Caenorhabditis elegans: one gene and its partners. The protein of the gene in region 1 purifies or fractionates together with the protein of each later gene. This does not show direct contact. Each region holds a gene or a part of one and is shown on either strand. Other genes may lie near its edges.

What was found.
Region 2: the proteins of him-3 (region 1) and htp-1 purify together in Caenorhabditis elegans (affinity purification with western blotting; 2 studies listed by BioGRID, with this or other methods). This does not show direct contact.
Region 3: the proteins of him-3 (region 1) and htp-2 purify together in Caenorhabditis elegans (co-purification; one study listed by BioGRID). This does not show direct contact.

The regions. Positions count from the first base shown.
Region 1 is NC_003282.8:6,972,395-6,982,805, forward strand, and holds him-3 (HORMA domain-containing protein), read left to right. Parts: upstream 1-5,113; 5' UTR 5,114-5,131; coding exon 5,132-5,333; intron 5,334-5,375; coding exon 5,376-5,589; exon of another isoform or gene 5,590-5,635; coding exon 5,636-5,808; intron 5,809-5,855; coding exon 5,856-6,142; 3' UTR 6,143-6,371; downstream 6,372-10,411. Other genes in the region: nhr-249 (NR LBD domain-containing protein), read right to left, coding at 1-3, 47-133; Guanyl-specific ribonuclease pgl-1, read right to left, coding at 2,223-2,612, 2,657-3,180, 3,225-3,396, 3,443-3,585, 3,632-3,972, 4,021-4,379, 4,424-4,570, 4,618-4,749 and 1 more; prkl-1 (LIM zinc-binding domain-containing protein), read right to left, coding at 6,634-6,747, 6,816-6,977, 7,471-8,005, 8,052-8,161.
Region 2 is NC_003282.8:5,386,032-5,396,629, forward strand, and holds htp-1 (HORMA domain-containing protein), read right to left. Parts: upstream 5,527-10,598; coding exon 5,461-5,526; intron 5,415-5,460; coding exon 5,267-5,414; intron 5,221-5,266; coding exon 4,487-5,220; intron 4,439-4,486; coding exon 4,328-4,438; 3' UTR 4,158-4,327; downstream 1-4,157. Other genes in the region: F41H10.12 (CACTA en-spm transposon protein), read left to right, coding at 1-49; elo-6 (Long chain fatty acid elongase 6), read right to left, coding at 693-816, 1,251-1,777, 2,349-2,522; ZK616.5 (uncharacterized protein), read left to right, coding at 6,141-6,214, 6,260-6,322, 6,368-6,446, 6,494-6,559, 6,610-6,750, 6,797-6,870, 6,915-7,011; perm-3 (ER membrane protein complex subunit 4), read right to left, coding at 7,995-8,183, 8,301-8,519, 8,657-8,773; swsn-6 (Actin-related protein 4), read left to right, coding at 9,010-9,034, 9,088-9,164, 9,230-9,307, 9,358-9,472, 9,529-9,629, 9,674-10,420, 10,469-10,555.
Region 3 is NC_003282.8:6,414,315-6,424,757, forward strand, and holds htp-2 (HORMA domain-containing protein), read left to right. Parts: upstream 1-5,207; 5' UTR 5,208-5,214; coding exon 5,215-5,280; intron 5,281-5,325; coding exon 5,326-5,473; intron 5,474-5,519; coding exon 5,520-6,253; intron 6,254-6,302; coding exon 6,303-6,413; 3' UTR 6,414-6,584; downstream 6,585-10,443. Other genes in the region: exos-2 (Exosome complex component RRP4 homolog), read left to right, coding at 1,189-1,328, 1,390-1,558, 1,604-1,831, 2,414-2,569, 2,764-2,892, 2,940-3,029; Y73B6BL.22 (Nitrogen regulatory IIA protein), read right to left, coding at 1,939-2,139, 2,187-2,303; Y73B6BL.23 (uncharacterized protein), read right to left, coding at 3,889-3,985, 4,032-4,105, 4,153-4,293, 4,344-4,409, 4,456-4,534, 4,580-4,642, 4,691-4,764; puf-11 (PUM-HD domain-containing protein), read left to right, coding at 7,294-7,631, 7,769-8,578, 8,626-8,995; acp-6 (Histidine phosphatase family protein), read right to left, coding at 10,369-10,407.

The DNA of each region.
Region 1 (10,411 bases):
TATCTGAAAATAAAATTTAATTTGAATAAATTTATCAAAAGCTGACCTTATTCCATTGTTCCAATTGTATTTCCGCCCATAATCCGTCAACCCATAAATTGGAAAATTCCACATATTGAAGTAAAATACCCATATCCAAAGAGTGAAGAAGATCTGTTCCAGGACAATGTTGAGTAATATACGTGGATTCCTGATTATTTGTTCTACTCAGACTGAAGAATGTTTGAATGAATGTCAGAGTGTCTCATTTCGGTTTGATCTACGTAGATCTACAAAAAATGCGGGAGTTGAGACGCAGAGTTCTCAACTAATTTCACATGCTTAAGAACGGGCTGACGTCTCATTTTTTGGGCAAAAAAATCCCGCATTTTTCGTAGATCAAACTGTAATGGGACAGCCTGACACCACGTGTTTTCATAAGATTAATGATCAGTTTTTTACAAACAAACACTTTAAGATGTCTGTTATCACCGATTTTCCAAATAAAAACATCAAACATACGTGTTTCATTAGAAAAAAATTTAAAAGTATTAATTCTTCAAGAACCCAGGTTGAGAAATATAATAATTGTTTAAGAATCTGGGTTCCAGAAAATTAGGGATTTCTTGGGATTAAAAAAATAATAAAAGTGAAACAAACAACTTAAAGGTAAAGGTACAATGTTGTTCGATCCTCTGAGATGACTTCCAGTTTCATGTTTTCCAGGAATGCTTTTTCCGCAGTAAATTTCACTCGAATTGGGTAATAAGTATTGATATTGACGAGAGATTAGTTATGACCGAAATGCCATTGATTTCATTTGTCAGGTAATCTTTTAGTTTTAGGTGGATGGATATTTAGTTATTTAACTGCCAGATTTCAGAGAACAAGCTCCAAATATATGTGAAATAAACTTTGGAAGTCGTAGAGTTCAAAAATTATACGATGATCCTTTGAAATTTACATCAATTGACGAAACACGTGCTTCCCTTTCATTTCTTCGTTACAATTTGACAACTACTCATAGATGGAAAGCATTTAAATCACTTTTTCAACCAACAAAAGTTCATGCAATTACATTTCATTAGACTATTCGACAACATGAAGAATGTAAAATAAAGACAGCTCCACGGTAAATAGGATATGTCAGACATTACCGTACAACTGCTTCCACGAGTTTGGCTGGATCTTGGATAAGAATATTCAGGCCATACACTACTAGTCAAATGGACTCTGAATTTTCGAAAGTACTGGAAGAGAAGGTTGTGAAGCGAGGTGAATTTATTTATAAACAACATCCTGTTTTCTGCGAATCAATTGATTTTAAGATTAGAAAACGATTTCCAAATGATCTACACTGTGTGAACTGATTGTTTTATTACAATTTGTATTATCTTATGAAAATGTATATTACCGTATATCTTCTATTAATATGGCCTCCCTATTAGACTTGCACTCCCTATTAGTATTGCCCCTCGGAGACGTTCCGAAAATTAGTATTGCACACCCTATTAGTCTTGCACTCTCTAGTAGTCTTGCGTTAACTTTTTTGTATTGCAAACCCGTCTCGCTAATTTTAGGATTTCAACATTTTTTTGCCTATTTTGCAACAGTTTTCACATCATTTCTACGAGATCGAAGTTTTTGAACTTATATGAAAATCAAATTTTCTGAATTTTTACATATGATTCGAGCTTTTTCAGGAAAAAACTAGTAAGCTCAAAGTCAGAAAATGCTCTGAAAATTAGTATTGCACTCCCTAATAGTCTTGCATTCCCTATTAGTATTGCAAGCGGGAAGACCATCGAAAAATAGTATTGCAGCCATATTAATAGAAGAAATACGGTATTTGTTATGTTCGAATGCAGATGTCTCATAACGATTTACAACTCTAATATGCGTAAATGTATGATAAGATCAGTTGAAATTGTATAAGAATGCATGCAGTGCCACCTGTTAATTTTATGATCCACCAATCATTCGGCACCGTCGATTCAGACATCACTTTTCTCATCAAGCCGCAGAAAGAGATATACGTGTAATTAATTGAGTTAATTTCTTGCAACAATCTAGTTCAAACATTTACCGGGAACAAGGAAAAACAGGTTGAATAAATAATAAATGACAGTCAAGGTTTTAGGGATTTTACAACAAGATTGTTAGAATAAATAATGTGCGTAAAACGTGTAAGTATACAAGAAGTGTATACTTAAAAAACAAATTAAACATTCAATAGTTGGAGTTTAGAAACCTCCGCGTCCACCACGACCCCCGTAACCACCACGTCCACGATCTCCGCCGTATCCACCTCGTCCTCCGCGGTCTCCCCCGCCGTATCCACCTCTACCTCCACGATCTCCGCCGTATCCACCTCTGCCTCCACGGTCTCCACCGCCATATCCTCCGCGACCACCTCCTCCTCCATAAGCTGAACTGGTGGGAGCAAATTGACCGAATCCTTTTGCAACTTTGGCTTCCCCAAATCCACTGACTTTGTATTGATTAGTCGGGGCAGGAAGAGGCATTGGAGTAGCGTCGCCTGACCCCCATGCAGTTTCAGCACGAGCTTGTGGTTGTGGTGTAGAATCTTTGTCAGCAACTGTGGTTTCCTCTTCATCTATCTGCTGCATGCCCTGAAAGAAATATTTTTATAATTCTGAAACGATGAACGCGATACCGGTGGCAGAGCTACTGATTTCGTTGGAGAATCCCAGCCATCGGTGGAAAAACTTGGCGCTACTTCTGGCGAAGCACTTGAAGAAGTATCTTGATTGGCATCCGAAGCCATCTCGATCTCGTTAACTGTTTGCTGTTGTTGTGCATCGTTAACCTTTTCTGGGACAGGATCGACCGCTTTTACAGTAACACCTTCTCCAATGTTTCTTGATGAGCTTAGCAAAGTCGAAGAATCCACTTCGTCACAAGAAATCTCCTGAAGACTGAGTGAATCCTTTGAATCGACAAGTAACCCGGAAGAATTGGTATCACTGAGACCGTTGAGAACTTGAGCTTTAGTATTTACGCTGTATGTGTTGTGAACCGTCGTCATTTCCTCTTTCGTGTAGGCGGAATCCTGCTGTTGGGAAGTGGATGGTTGCACATTGCTCTTTCTGCCACTTGGTGTATCGGACAAACAACACTTCTCCAGTGATTCAACAATTCGAGTGACATGAGTCTTCGAGTTGATTCCTTGAACAAATTCTGAAATTAAAAAGTTAACAGGAGATAAAAAAAGGAATATTCACTCTTGAAGCTATCGACGAGAAGATTTTTTGAAGTGGAATCCAAGAAACGAAGCTCGCCCAGCGCTTCAGTCTCATTCTCGGATCCGTAAAACTCTGTAAGCCACAGTGCAAACTGTAGAGCTTTATTCACATTATCGATCACCGCATCATTGTTTAGTGGACTCTGAGGAATCTGAAAAACGGTCATGTAAGTAATGTTTATAGAATCATTAACTCACCAGTGGAACGGGCTTATCGAAGCATTGCTCTAGAATTGAGACTTGGAACTTCTTGATAAGTTCCGCAATGGCTCGTCTTTTCCAGGCGCTCTCCAAGTCTTTCGCGACTCCAACAACATCCCAATCCTCAAAAGACTTCTTAGCTGAAATATTTAGATTTTAAAAGTAAACAAAGACGAAAATACTAACATCCTAAAAGAACTTGGATGATGTGATTGCCGAGGAACACCGCACTCTTGTAGACACTTCTTTGCAATCCTGGAAAGACTTCCGCTCTGACACTCGTAGGAATCCCAGAGAGGATTTTCTTGGAAACCTCGCGCTTTCCATCTGCAAGTGAACGAACGATAAGGAAAAAGAGCTGATATCCGAGTTGAGATCTCAAGACAAGTGACTCGTCTCCTTCATTTTTACTCGCTTCCTCGAAAAGTTGAGCGATATGGTTCACAACTTTCCCAACAGACTCTTCGAGTGGATCCATGAGGAGACTAATGAATGGATCGGCAGGTTCAGATTTCGGACCATCCAACCTAAATTGAAAAAAAAAATCGAATTATTTTGAAAAGGACAACAATTACATCAACTGTTTCAACAACGGCTTGCAGCTATCAAATGCGTTGACGACGTTATCACGGATAATGTCGACCTCGTCGCTAGTCTCCTCAGAGATAAGTCCGAGGATTTTAGTTAGGACATAAACATCAAAGTCCAGATCCAGTTGGCTGACAAGTTCCGTGAGCTCAACAAACTTTTCGGCGGCATCATCGATTGCGATTACTTTGAGAAGAGCTTGAAGAATCTTAGCGTCTTCAGTCTTCTTCAGCTTGGCCTTACGGGCGAGCATTCCGAGCTTCTTGTCGTCATCGATGACAGAAACCAGATCATGAGCATGTCCCAATCCTGACAATTTCTCAGCAGCAGCATCAAATTTCGGACGCTAAAACGTTATAATTGATTACAATAAGTTTAATTCACACTTACAAATTTATCTCCGAGAAGAAGACAAACGTCCATGCCAGCAGCAATAACGGCAGCGTTAGCGTCGTTCGGCAAGATCATCTCCAAAATGTCTTCGTCTCCAGGAGCGTCTTTGGAAGCTCCCAACACGAAAGCAGCCAACTTATTGGCCTGAAATTGAATAATAGAAAATCGGTCTTTAAATATTATAGTCCAACCTGAGATGTATTGTTGAACAGTTCTTCGTCATTCTTCGTGATGTAGTGGGCCAAATTTGGGAAAAAGTAGGATCTCAGCCCACCGAAATCCACAATTTCTCGCTTGTTAGCCTCCATGTGAAATGGATGAAACTGAAATAAATATTTAAATTTTTAAAAAATTTTTCGAGATTAGAATTCAAAAAAACGCAAAATTTACCCAAAAAAGTAAGAAAACGGAAAAGAAAATTGGGACGAGATCGAAATTGCAACTTCCGCGTTCGCGTCGAGTTGTTCGTTTCGAGACCCGTAGATCTGAAACTTCCATGCGCCTTTAATAATTTCTAAGTTTCTGAACTATTTCCAGATTTATTTTACCTATTTTCTAGTTTTTTTTTTCAAATCAAAATATGTTTAATCAATGCGGGGTTTTATAATTAAATAATATGTTTAACTTGTTATAGATTTTATAGATATTATTTTTTAAACATTTTAATTTGTTTCACGATGATATTTCAGTAATTGTAGGTTTGCGATGGCGACGAAAGAGCAGATTGTTGAGCACCGCGAGTCTGAAATTCCTATAGCCAGCCAGTGGAAGGCCACGTTTCCCGTTGATCTAGAGATTGAAAAAAATTCTGAAATGTTTGCGCTTCGCTACATAAAATGTGCTTCGGCCTTCATTCTCGATCGCCGTGGCATTTTGGACGAAAAATGCTTCAAAACTCGAACAATAGGTATGGCTTATTTTACAATGTATCACAAATATTTTTATACAGATAAACTGTTGGTCACCGCATTCCAGAGCAGTGTTCCTGCCGCAAAGCGTGTGTCTTCAACATTCGACGGATTGAGAGATGCGATTCAACAAGGCTATTTGCGAGAGTTCGCAATCGTGTTCTACAAGAAGCCAAACGAGGAAGACATTAATGAAGTGTTTGCGTTCAGGTTTGCTTATGGAGATGAAGGAGAGATTTTCGTATCTCTAAATAAGTAAGCTGCTGGTCTTATTCAATTATTCGTTTTCAATTGTTTTCAGCGGAATCGACACGAACGAAAGCAGTCAAGAACTGTTACAGGCGAAATTCGTTGATACCGACAACACGAAACAAATGTTTGCAAGCACAATCAAGAAACTTCACCGGTGTATCAAGAAAATGGAGCCGCTTCCTCAAGGGTCCGACGCGAGTTTCCGTGTTTCGTACACTGAAAGTAGGTTACATTCACAGCTTTAGTCTATTTCTAACTGTTATTTTAAGAAGCTCCAAAAGACTATACACCCGAAGGCTATCTGCTGAGTCCTATGTTCTATACGCTGAATCAGGATATTAGGAAAGCATCTATTGGAATCGTGTGTGGCGGTCATCACAAAATTCAAATGCTTGCTGCTTCACAATACTTGAAGCAAGACTTCGATCTGGATAAAACGACCACACTCAATCCAAATATGTCAATCATGGCAAACCAATCGAAAAGGAAGGGACGAATTTCCAGAGATTCCCCTTACGGTCTCAGTCAGGGCATTACGAAGAAGAATAAGGACTAGTCGAAAAGTTTTCACTCATGTGCAATGTTTCTCTTGTTTTATATTTTTAGCCATTGTTTTTATAATTTCATTGATTGTCGTGCTTTTGTCTTCTCTTGTGTGATATCAATCTATCTTCTTCACGTATAGTTTCATCTGTTTGATTGAGTTATTTTTCTTTCACTGTAAGTCTGGTGTTTCGTAGATTTAGAAAAAAGTAGCGTAATAAATTATTTTGAAATGGACCAAACATTCAAATCCAGTTCAGATAAATTTATTTCATTGAAGCAGTGTTGGAATTCGGACAAATGAGAAGTGAATATTCATTTGAAATAAGTTTTACATTACTTGCACTGTTGGCTGGGTGTTAAAAATAGGTTCAATATTGAATTAATAAAATGGGACAATTCACCGTGCAGAAAAAAACGAAGGAAAAGGCTTAAAATTGAAGAAGAAGTATAAAAGAATCACATGGGCTTTTCAGGAATTCAGTAAATGTTTGGACAAGTATATCAAGATACTGTACATCTGGAACTTTTCTTTTTCTTTGCCATTCGAACACCGCCTCCCGACATCATCATTGGTTCATTTTTCTTTGATTTACGACTGGAAGACTTTGCAGGAACCTGAATTTTTTATGATTGAATGTTTGGAAAATCTCAAATTGATAGTGTGGAATAAATTAAAAACTTACTCTACTCAACGAGGCGGCTGCCATAATATTTGAAATGTAAAGCTGTTCATCATCTGAATCCGACGAAGATGATGTACTATATCCATCCATTTCGGGATACCCAGTAAGCAGATTATTTGGTGTTTTTGAGTAGTAATTATGGTGGTTAGGAGATGTAGGAAGCTGAAAATTGAAATATTGTTGGTCTAGAGTTTTCTCATTTTAAGAAACAGTACAGCCAACTTTACTTTGAAATATTCGAAATAGTCTCCCAGGGCCAAGAGATTCATTTAAAAAAATCAAAAAAAATAAAAACTCTATTTTCCAAGTCTTGCTATTCTCTATCTCCCTCTCTCTACAATTCTCCTCTAAAAAAAGAACTGCAAAACAAACTAGAGATTTGCTTCGCCTACTCTTAAACCAATCAGATGGAGTGAACATCTTTTGAATATACCGTTATTGCCGCCAAATACCTAACGAGACCCATAGTTTGGGGGCGGAACGTTTCACTTGACAGTGAAGCGCGTTTGATATCAACAGGGCATTTTCCTGCGTCCTCCATAATAACAAGAGTTGAAAAAGCAAATGATATTTATCGTTTTTTATGGTATTAAAATATTTCAAGTAGGTATTTAAAACTAAAAACCTAATTCAATTACAATGTTAATTATCTTACCTCATGAGAGTACTTCTTATCGAAATTTGGACTATTATTCGATGAACATGGTAGAACAGTTTCATATATATTTTCTGATGGAGGAGGTGGAGGAGCTCTTTGTGGTGGTTTTGGTCGTTGATTTTGAATAACCACACTTGGTTTCTGAATCGTCATTGTCGTCGTCAAATTCTGTTGAATGACATGAGGATGACGTGGTGCAACCCTCGGAGAAGCTGGGATACGAACCACTTTTGTGGATTTTTGTGTCACTTTTCGATGCGGCGAACCCAACCGATCCTCATCAAGCAACTCTTCGTCTTCTCCACCACATGTTTGATATCCACAAAATAGGGATTCACCAACTCGCGAATATTTCACGCCGAGCAAGTTTTTGGAGCAAACACAACAGCAAAAGCATTCCGCAGACGCGTGCCAATGAAGATCTCCTTGTGACATATGTGGAGTGTCAGAAGAGAATGAAAGACGGCATGTTGTACATGAAAATGTTGATGAAGATGAGTGAAAACATTTCAAGCACACGGGTTTGTTTGCTCTGGAAATAATGGTTTAAAATACTTTTTCGGGTTTAAATTGTATACCTCTGCATATATTTTTGATCAGCTAGAACATCATTGCATTGTGCACATTGAAAATGATGAAAATGCCACGATCGTCCTTCAGCTTCTAAGCATTCATCCCCGAAGATGACCTGAAAATCAAAGATATTTGAATCATATTGCATTTTGATTGGCGGCCGTTTTAACTTTGGGAGTTGAAATTTAATATCGGGAGAACCTTGAAGCATCTGGAAAAGCGCAACTTTCACTGGTGGGGTCACAAATTTACGAGAATTACAATTGTGAACGTGAATTTCGAAGAAGCACAATTGGAGGTTAGGAAAAAAGTTCCAAAATAAACTAGACACTCTAGAAATCTGAAATTGAAGAGGGAGGCATGTATTTTTGCCAAGGATTTCTACCGTAATTGCACTAAAAAAAGATATAATCGTTTATGTATTTTTTGTCCCACGAGTCAGAAAATAGTATTGGAATTATTGGAATTATTAACACAAAATTGTTAGGGTGCAGCTACTACAGTGCGTCCAACTTCTATAGCACCCCCCCCCCCCCCCAATTTGGCGGTTTGGAGCTTCTCAAAATATTTTTTGAAAAAGTGTTAGTGCAGTTCGATAGCAAATGTTGAAAAACCTATGCTCCCCAATTTTCATTATGATATCTCAAAAATCACAGGAATTAGGTCAAAATATCGGAAAAATGGCCGTCCAACTTCTATAGCACCCCCTCTGATTTTTGGAAATTTTCAGTAAAATCGGGGGTTTTCTTCTTAATTAATGAATTTATTTTGTGAATAACTTTACACCAAAATAATCAGACGGTTTCATTTTCACATTTAAAAAATAAATACAACCCCTGAAAACACGTGGAACGCCTAGGATTGTCCTGGAACGTTCGTATTTGCTACAAAGGCCATTTCTCGGCTCCCAATGATTTTCGCAGCACCAAACTTGACCAAAATGATCTTCCCCACCTATGTATTACTATTCAAATAATTGTTGAAAACATTTATTCATATGAACCAAATGGTAAAGGGAGCAACTGCAGTGATTTTCAAAAGGCTTGATTTAACTATGAAAACTAGCGTTTGGAGGCGCAGAGCTGAAGGTTGGTAATACATTTTCGACTAAAAATTACTAAATTATAGCAAAAAAATAAAAATTATATTATGTGAACATCAAATCTGTGGAAATCCATGGATACATCAAATGCTAAACATCTACAATCACCGATTCAGGTTTTGTCTGTTAGTTTTTAGGTTCTTTGACCATAGAAATATTCAATGAGCAAATTCGCTAAATTTCAGTTGAGTTATAAATACAGCTAGAAAAATCGTCATTCAGAAAGTTATATCTTACTTTCGTCTTTAAAATTTTCGCGTGTTAGCTTGAGAAAAATACTTGCGGCCTCGCTTTGCCTTTGTCCTCTTTTGAGCGGTCTCATGAACTTTTCCTAATAAATTTTCGAAGACTTCTAATCAAAATCAAAGCTTCAAGGATATTTGAACCGGATGAGCTAAAATTCTGTACAATAGGAAGTCAAAACCATCAGCTCTGCGCCTCCAAACGCTAGTTTTCATAGTTAAATCAAGCCTTTTGAAAATCACTGCAGTTGCTCCCTTTACCATTTGGTTCATATGAATAAATGTTTTCAACAATTATTTGAATAGTAATAAATAGGTGGGGAAGATTATTTTGGTCAAGTTTGGTGCTGCGAAAATCATTGGGAGCCGAGAAATGGCCTCTGAAGCAAATACGAACGTTCCAGGACAATCCTAGGCGTTCCACGTGTTTTCAGGGGTTATATTTATTTTTTAAATGTGAAAATGAAACCGTCTGATTATTTTGGTGTAAAGTTATTCACAAAATAAACTTATTAATTAAGAAGAAAACCCCGATTTTACCGAAAATTGCCAAAAATCAGAGGGGGTGCTATAGAAGTTGGACGGCCATTTTTCCGATATTTTGACCTAATTCCTGTGATTTTTGAGATATCATAATGAAAATTGGGGAGCATAGGTTTTTCAACATTTGCTATCGAACTGCACTAACACTTTTTCAAAAAATATTTTGAGAGGCTCCATACCGCCAAATTGGAGGGGGGTGCTATAGAAGTTGGACGCACTGTAGTACACACGTACCAAATTGAATTATATCTATAGGTATAATTACGTTTTCTTTTTTACAAATTATGTTTCAAAAACCAAAAATTCAAATTTTCAAAAATGTTTCTTAGCAAATCTCCCTTTTCTTCTTTTCCAAACTATTTTTACTATTCTTTTTGCTTTCTTGTCCTCAATTATTTCAAGTTGCGACACTTTTTTCTCCTCCAACCGCCGGCGCTTGGTGTTTCACCAAATCGCCTATCATAAAAGTTTGCACACC
Region 2 (10,598 bases), 1.6 Mb from region 1:
TAGAAGTCTAACAAACTTCATTTTTGTAGAGCTCACTATTTCAGTATAATTAACCAGCACGAGCTTACAGTTGGATTTTTTCTATCAAATTGTATTTAATTTATTTATTGCTAAAAATTTACTGTTTCAAAGCCAGTTTAGAGAGTGCATCCACCAATTCGTTCAGTAGGCTGATCTTTAGAGCATCCAAAGTTGACAAATTGCTATCTTGTGTTATACTGCTAACAATTGTACTTAGAATTGTACGGACATTGGGGATTCTGCTGATGAAATGTACCAAGCATGCTAGCCAGCAGACGTTCCCGTGATTCCAAACGCCTCTTATCGTTATTTTTCCGTCTTCGTTGTTGGTACCATACTGTACTTCAGCGCGATGTGGCATATTTACGACAAAATTGTCTTAAGTCACAACTGCTTGATCGATCTCTTCAACGACGAAAAATCACCAATCGGAAAAACATAAATTTTTTAATAAAAAACTTTTTTTCATATTGAAAAAGTTATAGGTTTCAACATAGGCATAGGAACGAAAAAATCTACCTGCCTGACATAAGGTAGTTACCATACTTTGTTTTTAAGATAACAATTAAAATAATTGTATTCTACTAAACCTTTATTATACAAATCAGAACATTTAATAGAAAGTGTAAACTACCCGGAAAAAAAAGATAAATTATCTCTATTCTAATATTTTATTCAATTTTCTTTTCAGTCTTCTTCTCTGCATTAAACTTCTTGCCACCTCCCTTGATGTATGATTGATAGTAGAAGTTTCCGAACAGAACGACATAAGAGATTTCCATGAGAAGGCAGAACCTGGAAATATTGCATTTTACTAATTTTATGCTGTTTCAAAAGTATTGTAAATTTTCTACAAATTTTAGTTGTTCTAATACATATGTAGTGTCCACTATCAAATTTCCTTGAGTTGCTTGGTAACAACAAAAAAAACTCATAAACTGTGATATTTAGCAAAATGTTTTCAATTTACAAAATGTTGTCGATTAATTATTTTAGTGTCAAAGCTGTATAAACTCATGTTCTGAAATAAATTACAGCAGCCGACAACGACAACATTTAGTGAAATGGTAATATTTTGCTAACTATCACAGTTAAAAAAATACATGTTTGAAAAACTAAAGCAAATCACCAAAAAAAATCAAATCTAGGCGGAATATTAACTTGCATTGTATAGTTTCGTGTTACACTATGTACTAAAAAAAGACACTACATATTGGACAAAAACCCACCAATAATATCCTGGAGTTGAGTCAACAGATTGTCCAGTAACTGCCAAATATCCAACGTGGAAAAGAATGAAATGAGTAATAACGAATTGAAGAATTTGCATTGTTGTAATATTCTTGGCAATCCATGCTGGAACCTTGACACCAAAAGAACGAAGCATATAATATCCATACATAATTGAGTGAACTGAGAAATTCATCCATGTAATCCAAGTATTAAATCCCAAATTAGCTTCAAATGACATAAAAGCATAATTCATTGTAAGCACATGATGATACCAATGAAGGAACATCAATGGCTTTTTACGAAGAATAATAAAAAGTGTATCTCCGAATTCAGCAACTTTTGAGAGAACGAAAAGCCATGTGAACATTCCAGAAAGTCCATTATAAAAGTCTCCGATGTGAATGTAAGATTCGAAAAATCCACGGCTGAAGAACTCGTGGAGAAGTCCAAATGTAGTGGCAAGTGATCCGAGAGTTGAGAAAATAGCAAGACCCGCATTCCAGAGATTCAGTGGTCCCGTGAGCTGGAAATAAATTAGTGGGGTTTTAAGTGGGTGGATTGGTGGAAAATATAATTCCCGTTTCAACCGCAATTTTTATTTTGTAGTATATTTCCACTGTTAATTGAGAAACGATCACAATTTTCTTTTAAAAGTTATCAAAGCAGTATTTATAAAAGTTTTTGTTTTAAAATGGATAAAAGCTAAACTTTTGATTAAAAAAAATTGAATTTTCATAAAATGTTTACCGTTTCAAAGAATCTATAGACTCACATCGCATTTCTGGCCCCACTTTCCAGTTCTAATTACCTCCGAATAGTTAAGAAATCACCAAAGATGTACTGTTTCAGACAATCTATTTAGAAAGTAACATCAAATAAATAGTATTTTGTATCTGGTGGCATTAAAAGTAAGAAAATAATTACTGTTTCAGGAAATATTTAATTGTGTGATACAAAATGAGTTCTAATCTACCAGCAATGTATTTTCAATTAATCAAAAAATGGGTTCTTAATTATTTGCAACACTAAACTGTTCAATAATAAAATTTAAATTTTACCGAAAATTTACTGTTTCAGAGAATCTACAAACTTACATCAAATGGTTTTCGGTTTGTCATGACAGCCTTGAGCCCAAAAATAACGACAACATATGCCATTGAGATCCAGAAAGCAGCATACTGAGTCTGTGCAATATGCTTTTTTGAGAGCTCATGACTGAATGGAGCAGTTGTCAGCACCTCAAAGAATGAGACTTCTCCCTGTGGCATTTTTACCTGCAATTTTAAACTTAAAAAAAGGAACTGCCATATGAAGAGTGTGGCTCAAAGTAAACTGCTAAATAAGAACCAGATCTAACAGGTGGGGCTTAAGATTACTGTAGATGGGTACAAGGTACAAGTCTCTAGACTAACATAAGAATACAACAAAGCAAACATTTTGGCTCCAAGAGCCCGAAAGTCACAAAACACGGTCATCACCAACTCCTTTTTATACTTAACCATCTCGTTTTCTGCGTCTCTCCCTCTCTCTCTCTCTTGTAGTGAGATACCAAATGGTGGTCTGATTTTTTTTGTTGGAAAAAAAGGTAAAAAGGCGGAGGCAAGTGATTTTTCGAAGAAAATTCGGAAATTATGGGGCGATGAAAGAGGCGGTAGACGGGGGAAAGAGAGAGAGGGAGAGAGTGGAAGACATTTGTTTATAGGTTTTTTGAAGTGAAACGATTCAGAACACACTCAATGTACGGTCAAAGAATTGTAACTCTATTGATAAGATGTTTTTTATTAAAAAGTAATTGAAAAGTGCCTGAAACAGTAATTAAATTTCGTATATAAATGGTTTTTAATATATTTTTTCATGATTTGTGTATAATACCCAGTAACGGAATTTTGTGATTTGTGCGCCAAAAATACTATACCAGGTCTTGACACGAAAAATTTGAGTTTAATGCAAAAGGCTGTGCGCCTTTAAAGAGTACTGTAATCCCAAACCTACGTTGCTGCAGATTTTTTTAAAAATCGATGTGATTTGCTAAAATTAATGTGTTCTTATTATTATCATTGAGAGATTTTTTAATGAATACAAGTACAATTAATTTTTCCCAAAATACTATGAAAAATCGATAAAAATTAAGTTTTTTATTAAGAAGAGTTTGAATTTCCAGTATTTTCTGAAATAAAAAATTGTATTTTTAATCTTTTTAATCAAAAATTGTATTCTTTAATCTTTAATCCTTTTAATCCCATGACCTGGTATTCTTGGCGAAAAAATTACAACATTTTGTGTCTGGGTAATATCCAGTCGTGAATTCGTGAATTAATTCGCCAAATCTGAAGACTCCACTTCAAAAGAACATTTTTCTCTCGATAGGTCTCGCCACGATCCATTTTGTTGGCGACAGGCGCGACTGCTCTTTCTTAAATGAAAATTGAGATATTTGTTCGCTAGAATGTGATTTTTTAACAGAACATACAAATATATGGTTTTCGTGGCGAGACCAATTTAAAGTAGCACGCGCCTTTAAAACGACTACAATCAACCTGAATACTACATAAAATTGTTTCAGACACTGCAATAAAAAAGCTTTTTCTGATAAATTTTGTGACGTCTGACATTGAAAAGTAGAATAAACTGTGTTTTTTTTCAAAACTTGAAACCAACAATCAACAATCGCCACGTTCCCTTGCAAACCACATAAATTTTAGCAAAGAACCTTGAGAAAAGTTATCGAGGTCAGCATGAATGGTGAATACAAAGAGAATTTCGAGATTTACCGAAAGATACTCGGAGCGGTATCCAGCAGAAGAAGAAAAGAGAGAATCCTTTTTAGATTGGTCAATTGTTGAAAAATTCTGAAATGCACTGGAGTATCTTGAAAATGGAGTCATGGGAAACATGCTATTTAATAACACCAGTCGATTTATTTATGAATGACTGTAATTTGAATAAAAAAAACTAAGGATACAATAATGGAGCAGAAAGGAAACACTCAAGACAATAAAACATTTTACACGATGATATAGAACATGCCAAGTTACAGAATGAAGCTATAATCTATTGAAAGCTAGGAAAAAAATTATTTACAGGAACGAGAATATGGAGACGATCTGGTTTTGCTGCCATCGGCTCCTCTGCGAGTAGTTGGTCTCGTCTGGATAGGCGACATTTGTGCTTTCTCGAGAGACTCCTACAATTTTAAATTTTTTGTTTATATGTAAAAAACTAATAAACTAACAGTTATATCATCCACCGGAGAAGTCTCGTTTCCTCCTTGATCGTTGACAGATTCAGTAGTGGCCTGACTAAGACTTGTGTCACTGTCCTCCGAATTAAACGATTTATACAGCACATTCACTGGATTGAATCCATGCCTATCGGAAACTTTGTCCAGGTGTCGCTTGAGAGTCAACTCTGCTTCGTATGAATCGGACATCAACATGCTCCAGCATTCCATGTTTGCAGCGTGGCATCCTGGGCGCAAGTGACCAATGGTTGCCGATTGGATATCATCAGGAAGTGTGTAAAAAGTGGAAGAATCTTCGAAGCCATCAATGCGGAAATTGGATGGAGCATCGTTTGTGTACTCCAATCGAAAATTAGCCGTGAATTCTTCTGGCAACGGTTCGAGAACTTTTGTGCAGAGGAACTGAACACTGCGAACAATCGTCACCATTTGATCTCGTACGCTGTCGCCACCCTCGTATACAAGTTGAGCAAGCTTTGCGAAGTGAGGATCTTCCTGGCCATTCTTGTCAGTGCTCAGACGAGCAACCACGCCGCCATTCTCAAAATAAATGAACTTCATAGAGAAAACTTCGATGGCTTCAAGATCTCCTTCATTATTTGTGATCACGAGGGAGACTTCTTTCAGAAACCCATCCTTTGTTGCATCCCCAGCATTTCGAAGTAGTTGAGCGATTTGGTTAGACCGTGGGTTTCTGAAGCACAGCGTCATGCATTTCAGCTTTTCTGAAAAAGAACATTTACTATAAAATGTGATAAGAAAAACATTTACCAGTGATGTAATTCTTCGTGAAATATTCTTGTCCAAGAATGTTACGGTTCCTAAGAACAGCCGAAAACGCGACGTAGATTGCTCTGGTCATGAAATTGGATGATCGATCCGGGTCGCTGACAATCCTTGGGAAAAGTTTGGACCATTTCTAAAGATGAAAAAAATTACAATGGCCATAAAACCATGAAAAAAACCTTATCATCAATGGAATCCGCCGATTTGTTGAGCGATTCGTCGTAGATGGTTTCCAAGGGCGCCATCTGCAAAAAAACAGTCTCATTTTTAGGCAAGAGTTTGTAAATGTGAAATATAATATAATTCCTCGAGGAATACTATGCAAAGAAAGAAAAAACCCAATGACAAGCTTAAAATGATACACTAAAAAACGAAAAATTATTTTCGAAACTAGGAAACGATATTTGAATTTTAAAAAACACAGAAAATCGTCAATTTCGAAAGCCTAGGAAAGAATTTTAGGATTTCAAAAATGCAAATAAAATGCTAAATTAAAGGTACATCGGATTGGGTAAGTCCATTGGTCTCGCCACGCAATTACAAAAGCTCAAAACTATTCAAATAATTTTTGACTAAATGCAGCTTTTCCTTTTATTTTAAAGTAAATTTTTCATTCATTTCAAAACTGTCAACAAATTTGATTACTAGAGGTAATTTTAAAAAGTACTATTCTTTAAAAATACGCAAATGCAAGTGAAATTCGCTAACTCGTGGTGAGGCCTAAATTTAGTTTACTGACTGCTCCTTTGATTACTGTAACTTGTTTGCTATTTTTAAAACGGTCTGAATTCTCATTTTTGGACGAGTTTGCCTAAATTTTCTCCTTTCAAGCTCAAAAAACGTTTATCATTGTTTTCAGATGCCAAACTATCGAGGACGTCATCAAACGAGACAGAATTGGAGTTCTAAGCCAAGAGAAGAGCACTCCCCGAGGTATTTGAATAAAAAATGTCATTTTTTCGAGTACTTTCTTTTCAGCAAAGGCGCATACAGGGACAAAATCTGGAGCGGTCCAGTCAGTGAGGTCGCCAGGCAACAAACGTATGAAACTAATTTTTAAATGTTCCTAATTTACTTATTCTTCAGGGTGTACGACTGGGTGACTACAGGTGCTTATTCCCTTGGATCGCCAGACTCGTGGCCATCTTATCCGGACGAAATCATAGTGAGTGCTGTAGTACACCGAAAAAAAGTTAATTTTTCTTGTTTTAGCTGATGAACGAGTCCCGAAATGCTCAGACATCCCGCATGTCGCGTCGGTCGGCTACTCCCGGTCCAGTGAGTTTATTTTCTTCATATTTTCGTTATGAGACAAACCTTGGTTTCAGAGATTGTCACAAGATAGAAGGACAAGAACTACAGCACCCGCCGTTGCGCCGATTCCGTTTCAGAGGGCACAGCCTCGAGTAGAAGTGGAGAGACAAAGAATCGACGAGCCTGTCGCACAGGACCTGATTATCGATGATGGGGTACCAGAAAGTTTCATTGAACATTAGCTGTAATGTATTTTTGTAGAACGGTACCAACAATTCGAACGATTCGAGTATTTGTGGCTTTGTGGAGGAATCCGAGGAACTCGTATATCCACAGTGAGTATCTAAATCAATTAATTAACTGAAATTTATCATTCCAGGTGGGTTTACTATCTGTACCCATTGATTCCTACCGCGCCTAACTGCAACAACGAGAAGTCGTACAAAGAAGGTGGCAATTGGTACAACTCTCCATGAATGATCTCCCTCTCCAGCTTCTCTCAATCTGTCATATTTCTTATGCCTGAGTTGCTCCTCATTTTAAGAATGTATCATTCTCATATTATCTGTCATATTCTCACTCCCATCATGCCCGTAATCAAACCCCCGTCATTCATTTTTCTCTGTACCGGTTAAGAAGTTCTAACATTGTATTTTCCATGATTCTAAGTCAGGAGCTTTTTCCCCATTATTAATCCATAATACGATCGAAGGTTATTTACCATCGATGATTGGAAGGTTGAATTAATTTCACATTGTTTTCTATGAAACGTTCATCCGATCCTCATTGACCATTCGATCCTTTGTTATATTTTCCCATTTTTACTGTACCCATCACCTCATACGCATCCTTTTAGGCTAGAAGTCTGCATTAGCAGAATAACTTTTGAGCTTTCACCGAATGTCTGTCCCATGTCTGCTCTCTCTTTTCCTTTTTGTTTTTGTTTTCCTCTGGTCAATGTTTCAATTCCTTCTGGTTTTTTTGAATCACAATAAACATTCTCCAGAAAATTGTCTCGATTCTCACTTGTTGTGTTGAAAAATATTCACGGAAATCGTTCGGGCAGTAGGTTAGAATGCGGAATTCAAAATCCTGGAATAAAAAATAGTTATGAATCTGTTACATGTGATCTTTGTTGTATCACTGATCACTATTCCCGTGTTCCTAGCTTCTTCACATGCTTCATCATTCTTTGAGCTCTGGTAACTTATTTTGCATGGCGTGTTATCAGTGAGTTGTTGAATGGTGTGACATGAATTTCCGAGAGAAAAACTATAGAAAATAATTATGTATTTGGGGACTTTCGAAGTACAATGAAATGGGGGAACGAAGCATAATGGAAAAAATGATATAAATTATATACTATCCTTATTAATTATTCTGCAATCAAATATGGAAAAGATCACGCAAGTTTGGAGGAAAGATTGGGAATGGAAATTGACTAGATTCGTTCGGAGATTCAGATGAATACTTCGTCGATTATTGAATACTGAGCACGACCCGGTTGAGGAATGAATTCGAGCCAATCTGATGGAGTATTCGGTAGAAGACCCATTGTATGTACTTTATAGATGGCAAGACCGATTGCTCCGAGGTTTCCAAGGCAGAAGATGAGCTTGTGAATAAACATTGATCCAGTTGCAGGGCTCTGAAAATGTTAGAATATTTTTTTGTTTAACGCCTTCTCCAAACAACAAAAACTAAAAGGTACAAAAACCAGTACTAATTAGCTTCAAACTATAGTTTGTGGGAACTCGCAACTTACCTCAAGCGGTTTGAATGTGGAATTGACTGCGAATAATGCTTTCAGCGGCCTAAACACCATCATTCCGACCATCATAATTGGGAAAATCGACACACCGCCTCCGGCCATATACATCATGAACATGTTCATCGGCAGAGATTTAGCTGGTCCCATTGCAGTGTCCCATACTCGTTTTCGTGCCAGATGCTCGTGTTGATCAGCGGATCGATCGGCTTCGGCCTGAAAATTGAGAAATTATAAAATTAAGGTTTTAATAATAAGCAGATTTTTTTCTTTCTTAATGTTTTTTAAATACACAATTTTAGCGAATAACTGTTTTTTTAAGACTTTTCAATTCTCGAAGAAATTCAACTCACGCTATGTTGAACGGTGGCAGCTGTCGAGTAGAAGCCTGGCGGGTTAAAATTACTGTCCGCAGTACGACAATTCTTCGAAGAGTAAGTGTAGTCAAGTTTCCAAGCCGATAGTGACATTCTGGAAAAGAATTGAATATTTAAGAGCAAGAAACAAATGGCAATGAAAATTAATGAAAGAGCAAAAATCGATAAATACGCCAGGTGGTTGCTGACGCGTTCTTTGATCGCGTTGGCGCACTCTCGGTGTCGGCATAAAATTTAAACTGATATTTTTCTTCCCTCGGCGTTTATTGTTGTTTTTGTTTTTTCTCTCGGTTTTATTTATAACTTTTATAAATTTTTCAGATCAAGATATGAGTGGAGCAGTTTATGGAGGAGGTATGGGAACTTTGATCTTTTAAGTTATAGATAAAACGCCGTTTTCTTTGCAGACGAGGTTAGCGGCTTGGTTTTCGATGCCGGATCTCAATCATTCCGCGTGGGATTTGCTGGAGAAGAATACCCAAAGGCAAGAAACATTTCAAGAATTGATAAATTTATACCTTCAAATATATTATTGCTTTATTTTTTTAGGGAGATATTCCATCATACATTGCCGTTCAAGAAGCACTTCCTGATGATACTATTGAGAAACAAGAGGCTATGGAAGAAGTACGCAGTTTCAATTTTTAATTCATTTTCAATGAAATCATTATTTTTAGGGTGATAACTCGAAAGTGCAAACAAAACGCGAGAAGAATTTTTTCATCGGAACGACCAAAATCATTGTGCCACGCGCCAGAACTAACATGGAAAGTTTTATGAAAGAAGGATTAAGTGAGTAATTTGACAGAAGTTAAAGTTAAAGTTAAAAACAAAAAAATGCTTTTCAGTCGAAGATTGGGAGTTGTTCGAAAAGATTGTGGAACATTCGTATGAGAATATCCTCTACTCCAATCCATCTGAACATCCGGTTTTGTTTTCTGAAAGCTCGGTAAGAACATTAAGGATTATTTAATAAGAAACACTTGTTTTCAGTGGAATGACCGTGCTCGTCGGGAGAAGCTGACTGAGATCATGTTCGAAAAATTCCAAGTCCCTGCGTACTACCTCTCCAAGAATGTTGTTCTTTCCTGTTTCGCACAAGGAAGAACGCACGGATTGATGGTTGATTCTGGAGCAACTCAAACTTCAGTTGTTCCTGTTTTCGATGGCTACGCAGTGACTCACGCGGTGGTAAAATGTCCAATCGGCGGCGATCTCATCACAGAACAACTGGCTCAAATGCTCGATCAACAGAAGATTGATGTTATTCCGACTTATAGAATCGGTGGAAAAGAAGAAGTTAACGAAGGAGAAGCTCCAAAATGGACTCCAAGGAAAAATCTACCACAGGTCACGAAAAGTTACGATGCATTTATGAAAAAGATGCTTTTGGAGGATATGGCAGCCACTATGCTCCAACTCTGTGATACAAGTATTGATATGGACTACGTCGACAAACTTCCATCGACACCTTATGCTTTCCCTAATGGATACACAAAAGAGTTCGGAGCCGAAAGAATCAAGCTTCCAGAGTGTTTATTCGATCTTGGATACCTTAAAGCTGAGGGAAAGAAGGATGGATTGATGACAGTGGCTCAAATGGCAGCAGCTTCTGCAAATCTTGCAGATATTGACATCAGACCGACACTCTTCTCGAACGTCACAGTCACTGGAGGAAACTCGTTGATTCTTGGATTCACAGAACGGCTCAACTATGCTCTAGCCACAAAGTGTCCACCGGTAATTCTTCAAAATTAAATAACGCTTATAAAGAATAAAATATTTCAGACGATCAAGCTCCGAGTATTCGCTGCTCCAACTCAAGCGGAACGGAAGTACGGCGCATGGATCGGAGGATCAATTCTCGGATCTTTGGTGAATAATAAAAAGTTTAAAAATCTTATTTTAATTCCATATT
Region 3 (10,443 bases), 560 kb from region 1:
AAATTTTTCTGGGAGCTTTTGTAAGACTCCTACTACTATTTTTATGGGAAATTTTAGAAAAGTAAATAGTCAATTAGTTGTCAGTTAACAATTTTTGATATAAAACAAAAAATAAAAAATGAGCTTCGAATATGGAGCAAGTGTACAACTGCTAGAAAAATATGTGGACCTTTCTTTTGCGACACATTCTTTTTAGGAAATTTGCACTGTTCTGTGAAAGATTTCAATCTGAAATATGAATAGAACAGAAGAAATAATATTGATTTTCCTGAAATTAACCGAATGTTTAGTTGAAGTTCTTGAGAAGTTGTTCAAATACTGGCTCAATTACAATATTCCGGGTACATATGCATTTTTAATAACTTTTAACGAAATTTAAGAATAATATCAAAAATATGTTTCAATACTTCTCATAAAACTCTCAATCAAAATAAGAAATACCAATTCGAAAATTCGAACATTGTTAATCAGAAAATGGTAACTTTATAAATGTTTTTTCAGAAACATTGATTTTTTTTCAATTTTTTCAAAATTTCAAAACTTTTTTCTAAGAGTTCCACATGACCGTCTACCGTCTGAAAATGTTTTTTTTTTAATTTTTAGATGGAGAAGAATACTTTTACAGTCAACCTAAATAAAAAAGAGTACATAAACCCGCAAAATCGGAATCTAGGAAATATTTAAAAATCGCACAATAAACCACCAAAGTTTTGAAAATTTTTCCTTTACGATTTTTACTTCTGTTTTAAATACTCAGTTTTTCTCCAATATATTTCTACGTATCCTCTTTTGTTGTATTTTTCCCGTTCGCATGCAAGTCGAAATTATAGGTGTCCCATTCAACTCACACTTCCTTCCAATGACACCTTTATAAAAAGTCAGACAATGGCTTCGTGTCGAACCTTATTTTTATTTCAATTTCGGGTTTTCATCGTCATTGGTTTAGCAGAAACAATTAAATTTGCACGCTCAATTGGCTCGCACTTTTATGGTCGAAAATCAACATTTGAATAGGCGCCAATTGAGTGACGTGTGGGTTTACGATAAACAGCACGCTTTCCGTCATTTCGGAGTGTCGTTGGAAATAATTATTTTTATTTTCATTTCGAATGAAAGCTTTTTTCAGTTTCTTTGTTTAATTTAAGTTTATTTAAATTTGGTTATTTGCAGACAAAAAAAATTTAAAAAATGAGTTTCGAAGTCACCGGTCCACCCCTCGTATCACCATGGATGATGTTATCAATGTCCGAAGCAAGAAATGATATTGATGAGACAAAAATTGTTATTCCAGGACATTCAGTTTGTGATGCACCGCAACAGTTTATGAGGTATGTATATTGTAAAATACTGTTATATCTTTTTGAAAAATGAAAAAATTAAGATTTTCAGAGGACATGGAACTTACGTTCGCGACGGAGAAATCGTCAGTTCTCTCTCTGGAGTCGTTCAACAATTAAATCGACTGTTGATGGTTAAAACTATTAAACAACGATATGCTGGTGAAGTCGGAGATGTTGTAGTTGCCCGTGTCGTGGAGGTTCAAGCAAAACGGTGGAAGGTTTCAAATTTTTAAGTGAAAAATATAACGATAATTGTTTTTCAGTGTGATGTGGCATCTCGTCTTCATGCAAATCTTCCACTAGGTTCAGTTCTCCTGCCAGGAGGAGACTTTCGCAGAAAAGATGTAGAAGATGAGGAGAAAATGAGCGAATTCTTGAAAAACGGAGAACTGATCTGTGCAGAAGTCCAACAAGTCCAGCACGACGGAACACTTATGCTACACACAAGAAATAATAAGTACGGAAAATTGCAACAAGGAATATTGATTAAGGTAATATTTTATAAAATCTTAAGAAAACGCAATTATAAATTTTTAAATAATAGTTCGGAAAGTTGTTATATTTCTTTAAATTCATCATCCAATTGATTCCAATTAGCTCACGTACGGCGTCTTGCTCTAAAAGCCTCAGAAGTTTTATTCAATTCTCGATCTCTGTACTCAATCACAGGATCTTGATCCTTCTTTGCAGTTGGATGCAGTTCAACAGTCTCGACGCCATAACGAAGAATACAAAAAATTACAAGCAACGCAGCAATGAGAATCCATTGTGTATAAGCACGCCATTCGGGAATTGGGCTCTTTAATAATAATTTTCTATTTCAAAAAAAATTAATGAAAAGCTAACCTCCGTGATAACCATATTTGCACGTTCATCGAGTCGGTAGATCATTGAATCGAGCACTTTTGTACGAATATCCTCCGCCTTTTCAAAGTGTTGAGTTTTCTCATTCTTATGCGACATCTCGTTCAAAGCAATATTTCTTTTTTGTTTATGCTGCCAAAATAAATAAAGCGACAAAAAAATCCACAAAATGAGTGGGAAGTCACGGAATTAATTTCTTTTTTTTGCAGGTTCCTCCACATTTGATCAAAAAGTCCAAGAAACATTTTCACACGTTACCCTACGGAATGGCTGTGATTATTGGCTGCAACGGAAGTGTGTGGGTCACGCCGTCGTTGCCGGAGACCACACTTGAAGAGGATGGATCACATGTTCACGAGTTTCAGGTGTGATAGTGATTCTTGAGAAAAATGAATCGAAAATAACAATTAGCGCACATATTTGGTGACTCAACAACGAGAAATTATAATAATTCCAATGATTGACGAGACCTTATAATTTATTCATCATACTCGTGATCATCATAATCGAAAAGAAAAACAAAAAAATTTGGCTTTTTTCGCAATAAAATAAATTTCAGATTGTACCTCCCGACGTACGCGTAACTATGGTCAGAATCGCTGCCTGTGTTCGTCTTCTTCGTGATTATTCCATCTCGATCTACCTCAATTCACTGACAACATGCTATGAAATGAGTCAGCCTTATGAAGTATCGATTGTTTCTTCAGTTTTAAAAAATTAGAAAAATAATTTCAGATCAAAGAGCTCGCCGAGCAAGACACGTCTTCTCGACTCGCCTACCTGATTGCTGCACGGCTTCTACAGGAACTTCAACAGCAGAAGTAATTCTAATTGTTTTGAATGATCTCTCCCTATTTAAAATTTACCTTTTTTGTTGCTGTTATTTCTTGTTGAGTTTCTTATTTACCATTTCAATTAAATAAAACTTTTTACTTTTTCGGATGATATTAGCTGCGATACAAAATCTGAAAGTTTCGAAAGAAATGGTCCATACCCTGAAATTAAACGATCGACCCGTAATCTTTGCAAACCCAAGGTCGCACAGAAATTTTTTTGATCTAGGAATTGTTTCAATTGAACTCCACATTCTAACTTAATGACCGAACAATTTCAGTGAATATACTTCGATTCACACTATCCGCTTTTCAATCCACCAAGTGAGAATCGAGACGATTTTCTGGAAAGTGTTTATTGTGATTCAAAAAAAACCAGGAAGAATTGAAACATTGACCAGAGGAAAACAACAAAAAGGAAAAGAGAGAGCAGGCATGGGACAGACATTCAGTGAAAGCTCAAAAATTATGCTGCTAATTAGCAGACTTCTAACCTAAAAGGATGCATATGAGGTGTTGGGCACAGTAAAAATGGGAAAATATAACAAAGGATCGAATGGTAAACGAGGATCGGATGAACGTTTCATAGAAAACAATGTGAAGTTAATTCGAACTTCTAATTCTCGATGGTGAATAACTTTCGATCATATTATGGATTAATAATGGGAAAACAGCTCCTGATATAGAATCATGGAAAATACAATGTTAGAACTTCTTAACCGGTACAGAGAAAATTGAATGAGGGGGGGTTTGATTACGGGTATGATGGGACTGACAATATGAGAAAGAATGAGGAGCCACGCAGGCATAAGAAATATGACAGATTGAGAGAAGCTGAAGAGGGAGATCATTCATGGAGAGATGTACCAATTGGAACCTTCTTTGTACGACTTCTCGTTGTTGCAGTTGGGCGCGGTGGGAATCAATGGGTACAGATAGTAAACCCATCTGGAAAAAGAGATTTCAGAGTTAATTCATTGATTTAGATACTCACTGTGGATATACGAGCTCCTCGAATTCCTCCATAATGCCACAGATACTCGAATCGTTGGAGTTGTTGGTACCGTTCTACAAAAATACATTACAACTAATAATCGATGAAACTTTTCTGGTACCTCATTATCGATAATCAGGTCCTGTGCGACAGGCTCGTTGATTCTTTGCCTCTCCACTTCTATTCGAGGCTGTGCCCTCTGGAACGGAATCGGCGCAACGGTGGGTGCTGTAGTTCTTGTCCTTCTATCTTGTGGCAATCTCTGAAACCAAGATCAGTCTCGTAACGAAAATATGAAGAAAATAAACTCACTGGACCGGGAGTAGCCGACCGACGCGAATTGCGGGATGTCTGAGCATTTCGGGACTCGTTCATCAGCTAAAACAAGAAAAATGAGATCTTTTCGTTGTACTGTGACACTCACTATGATTTCGTCCGGATAAGATGGCCACGAGTCTGGCGATCCAAGCGAATAAGCACCTGTAGTCACCCAGTCGTTCACCCTGAAGAATGAATCAATTAGGAGCATTCAAAAATTAGTTTCATACGTTTGTTGCCTGACGACCTCACTGACTGGAACGCTCCGGATTTTGTCCGTGTATGTGCCTTTGCTGAAAGGAAAGTACTCGAAAAAATGGCATTTTGTTAATTTCAAATACCTCGGGGAGTGCTCTTCTCTTGGCTTAGAACTCCAATTCTGTCTCGTTTGATGACGTCCTCGATAGTTTGGCATCTGAAAACAATGGAAAACGTTTTTTGAGCTTAATAGGAGAAAAATTAGGTGAATTCGCACAAAAAATGAGAATTCAAAACGTTTCGAAACCAAGCAAACAGGCTACAGTAATCAAAGGCGCAGTCAGTAAACTAAATTTAGGTATCACCACGGGTTCGCGAATTTCACTTGCATTTGCGTATTTTTAAAACATATTACTTTCTAAAACTACTTCTAGCAAATAAACTTATTGCCAGTTTTGAAATGAATAAAAAATTTACTTTAAAATGAAAAGAAAAGCTGCATTTAGTCAAAAATTATTTGAATAATTTTCAGCTTTTGTAATTGCGTGGTGAGACCAATGGGTTGCACCAATCCGATGTACCTTTAATTACGCATCATCTGCATTCTTTTTTTTGAATTCAAAAATTAAACTTTGCCCTAAAAATGTCTTCAAATTGTTTTTTGCAGATGGCGCCTTTGGAAAATAACTACAACGAGTCGCTCAACAAATCGAAGGATGCCATTGATGATAAAGTTTGTTTCATGGTTTTATGCTTATTTTAATTTTTTTAATTTTAGACATGGTCCAAACTTTTCCCAAGCATTGTCAGCGACCCGGATCGATCGTCCAATTTTATGATCAGGGCAATCTACGTCGTGTTTTCGGCTGTTCTCAGGCAACGTAACATTCTCGAAAAAGAATATTTCTCGAAGAATTACATCACTGGTAATTGTTTTTCTTATCACATTGTATTGTAAATGTTTTTTTCCAGAAAATCTGAGTTGCATGACGCTGAGCTTCAAAAACCTACGGGCTCACCAAATCGCTCAACTACTTCGAGCCGCCGGGGATGCCACAAAGGATGGGTTTCTGAAAGAAATCTCCCTCGTGGTGACCGAGCATGACGGAGATGTTGAAGCCATCGAAGTGTTCTCTATGAAGTTCATTTATTTTGAGAATGGCGGCGTGGTTGCTCGTCTGAGCACTGACAACAATGACCAGGAAGATCCTCACTTCGCGGAGCTTGCTCAACTTCGATATGAGGGTGCCGAAAGTGTACGGGATCAAATGGTGACGATTGTTCGCAGTGTTCAGTTCCTCTGCACGAAAGTTCTCGAACCGTTGCCAGCAGAATTCACGGCTAATTTTCGATTGAAGTACACAAACGATGCTCCATCCAATTTCCGCATCGATGGCTTCGACGATTCTTCCACTTTTTACACACTTCCTGATGGTATCCAATCGGTCACCATTGGTCACTTACGCCCGGGACACCACGCTGCACACATGCAATGCTGGAGCAAGTCGATGTCCGATTCATACGCAGCAGAGTTGACTCTCAAGGGACATCTGGACAAAGTTTCCGATATGTATGCATTCAATCCAGTGAATGTGCTGTATAAATCGTTCAATTCGGAGGACACCGACCCAGGTCTTAGTCAGGATACTACTGAATCTGCCAACGATCAAGGAGGAAACGTGACGTCTCCGGTTGATAATATAACCGTTAGATTAAATAGTGTTGTACACATTAACAAACAGTTTCAATTTGTAGGATTCTCTCGAGAAAACACAAATGTCGCCTATCAAGATGAGACCAACTACTCGCAGAGGAGCCGATGACAGCAAAACCAGATCTTCTCCATACTCTCGCTCCCGTAAATAATTTTTCTCGTTGTGTTCATTAGTTTACAGCTTTATCCTGTAACATGGCATGTTCTATATCATCATGTACAATGTTTTATTGTCTAGAGTTTTATTTTCCTTTTTGCTCCATTTTGTATCCTTGGTTTTCTTTTTAAAATTACAGTCATTCGTAAATAAATTGACTGGTGTTGTTAGAATTTTTCCCACGTCCCAGTTTCAGGATACTTGAATGTATTCCATAGTTTCCATCAATTGGCCGATCTAATTGTATGAAGGATTCGTATTCTTTTGCTGAGTCCCGCTCCGAATATCTTTTGGCATTTAAATCTAAAAATTTTCTGCAATAAGCACCAGGAACCGGACATGCTTCATGAGCTCATAATCATAACTACTAGCTTCTGCTAATTCTGCAGTCAACCCGAGATCGTAACCATAAGTCGTGGAACTGAGTTCTTGAAGTTTGTAGATGCCCGCGCCACTGATTCGGGTCATGAATCCGCGTTGCAGTTGAAAATATTCTATTATTATATTTAATTTTGTTCTTTGATTTAACAAAAAAATAGCGCTCAAATACGCTTAAAACAAGAATTTTTCGTATTCTGTGCCAAAATTTATCAATCGTGGCGAGACCTATAGGCTTAACGTCGAAATGCGCCTTAAAATTCTACAGTACTTTATTTCATTTTGCGCGGGAAATTTTGGGATTTTAGTTTTAAAAACGCGCGAATTTTTGCATTTTGGTTCCTGATTTCTTCATTTCTGCTCATTTTTTGCCTTCGAGGACGTTTCCCAAAATTTTGCTCTCATTTTCATTAATTCTATCGTATTTTCCACGTATTCCGTCCATTCAAACGACCATTTTTCCCAAAAAAATATTTTCAGTTAGTCTCCGTACCAATATGAGTCAAAGCACCGGTTCCTCTAACCTCGGTCGCTACCACGAGAGTCCGCCAACGACGGAGGCTCGCAATGTGTCCGGAAAAAACACATTCGGCGGTTGCTTCAACTCGAACAGCTCCAACATTTGGACGCCGAACCGGAATGTGGATTCTTCGATGGGATTTCAGCGCGTCTCATCGACACCAAAGAATGCTTCGACTCCGTATCGTCAAGGATTTGGAGGACAATTTTCCAAATGGCGGACTTCTACACCGATGACGACTCCGGCACGTCATCCTCAACAGGCCCTGAGACTTATCGATTTGGAGAACAACGCGTCGTCCCCGAACACTTTGAAGTAAGTTTTAAATTTTCCAGCGTCATTTTACTCGAAAAACTGTGTGTTAGTTCTGAAAACACGCTAAAAACGCTCTTCTGGAAAAGTGACATGGAGACTCAATTTTAGAAACTTTCAAAAAATTAACCTATTTTCAGCTCGAGCACCCGCAGCTACAAATGCACACTTCCAATCTGGGCTGGCGACGGCGAGGGAAATGTTTCGGACTCGGTCACTCTTCCGGATGTGCTCGCCAACGACGCTCTCGTGGAGTTTGCCACTGATAAGAATGGATGTCGATTCCTTCAGGAGCATTATCCAACGGAGAGCGACAATGACATCCACCAGAAACTCTTCCGTAAACTGGTGGAGGATCGTGCTATCTTCTTGTCGCTCTGCTGTAACATGTTTGGTAACTTTTTCGTGCAACGTGTCTTGGAGTGCTCGAACACTGAGGAGCAGGAGATTCTTACGGAGCACTTGGCTAGTGATTTGTACAATCTCTGCCTTGACAAGAGTGCGTGCCGAGTCATTCAACTGGCTATCCAGAAGCTTGACGTTCATCTTGCAACTCGTTTGTCCTTGGAGCTCCGTGACACGTACCTCGTCCGTCTCAGCATCGATCAAAACGGAAACCACGTGATTCAGAAAATCGTCAAGACGCTTCCAGTCTCTGCGTGGAGTTTCGTCGTGGAGTTCTTCGCCGACGACGACAATCTCATTCACGTGTGCCAAGACAAATATGGGTGCCGTGTCATTCAATCGACCGTTGAAACTCTGTCTTCTGATACATACGCGGAATGCTACCAACAACGCGTCGTTCTTCTTCGAAGTTTGATGTCAGGAGTCACTCGCAACTGTTCTCAACTGGCTTCCAATGAGTTTGCGAACTACGTTGTTCAACACGTAATCAAATGTGGAGACGCGATGGCTGTCTACAGAGATGTTATCATTGAGCAATGCCTTCTGTATGTTCTATAGTCAAATTTATAAATGTATTTTTCCAATTTTGCAGGCAGAACTTGCTCTCGATGTCTCAGGAGAAGTACGCTAGTCATGTGGTCGAAGTGGCGTTCGGATGTGCTCCATGCCGTCTGGCTGCCGAGATGATGAACGAGATCTTCGAAGGCTACATTCCACATCCAGATACCAATCGCGATGCTCTCGACATTCTGCTCTTCCATCAATATGGAAACTACGTTGTTCAGAAGATGATCCAGATTTGTGTTCTCGGTCAGAATGCTCGAGATCAGAAGCAAGCGGAGATGTACGGCATGTGGCTCGAGAAGATTCGCGAACGAGTCATGCGAAACGCCAATCGCCTCGAAAGATTCTCGTCGGGCAAGAAGATAATCGAAGCGCTCCAATCAATGTCCTTTTACTAGATATAGGCAATTCATTTGCATTATTATCCTAACCCCCACTCACGTGTATTATTATTATTATTATTATTATTATATTGCTAGAAAACATTAGAAAGAGTATTGCAACCTCTTCCATGTTATATGAAGACCCCGGCCCCTTTTTGCACAATAATTGATTTAAATTCTGTGAATAAAGAATTTACAAACTTTCAGATTTAATTGCTTAATTACGGCCGAACCTGAACTCCTTCTAAAGCTTCATCGATCGTCTTGCTCAGTACATGATCCTTGTTGGCATAGACATATCCTATGCTTACTAAAGTGTAGACAGGTTTTGTGTCACACTGCAACTTTTTTCGAACGAGGGCCGAGAAAAAATGCGAAAAATCGGTGTTTGCACACAATACACCGCATTTTACGACATTTTGTACTTGCTTTGTTTTCTTGTGTTTTTCACAGATTTTTCCCGTGTTTTCTTATTAAAACTGATAAATAAATATTTTTGTTAATGCTAAAATAATTTCCAGATGAAAAAATTGTGAATTCAGTCGGCAAGTAGCGGTAAAAGTGGTCAATGTAATATGATGGATTACGGGAATAAAAAACCAAACTTTTTCCCAAACATGATACATATGCTGTTTAGATGCTAAAAGTACCTGATTTTCAAAACGAGACCGCTGAAAAAGTTTTGAGATTTTCAAAATTCAACTTTTTTTGTGAAAAAGTCGAGATTTTGGCACAAAATGTTGAATTATGAAAATCTCAAAACTTTTTCAGCGGTCTCGTTATGAAAATCAGGTACTTTTAGCATCTAAACAGCATATGTATCATGTTTGGGAAAAAGTTTGGGTTTTTTATTCCCGTAATCCATCATATTACATTGACCACTTTTACCGCTACTTGCCGACTGAACTCACAATTTTTTCACTTGGAAATTGTTTTAGCATCTGCAAAAAATATTTATTTATTAGTTTTGATAAGAAAAAACGGAAAAAAATCGGTGAAAACGAAAGAAAACACACAGAAAACAAAGCAAGATAAATGGCCGCTGAAATTTGTCGGGGACTCGGCCATGGCCTAGAAACCACTTTTCCTCGTCCCTCGTGAGGAAAAAGTTGCAGTGTATCAAGTGGACGATATCCAAACACTTCGGTTTCCAGTCTGGAGTTTTTTTTGTTCTCCATGGAGCTTCACGTATCTTTTAAATAGAAAAAAAAACGATTTTCATCGCAAAAATAGTTCCAAATCGAGGTATACCCCTTTAATGAGCACAGTAACCCATTCTCCGTTATTTTGCAATTTTCATTGATTACTTTCGAATTATTTATTAAAAAGTAACTACATTAGTACATACGAAGCGAATCAAACGATTATTATAAATTCATGCAAAGAATCTAAGCCTTGTCGCATTGAGACTTCCAATCGGAGAAGGACTGAAAATGTTAATTTGTTACAATAATCTAACCTAT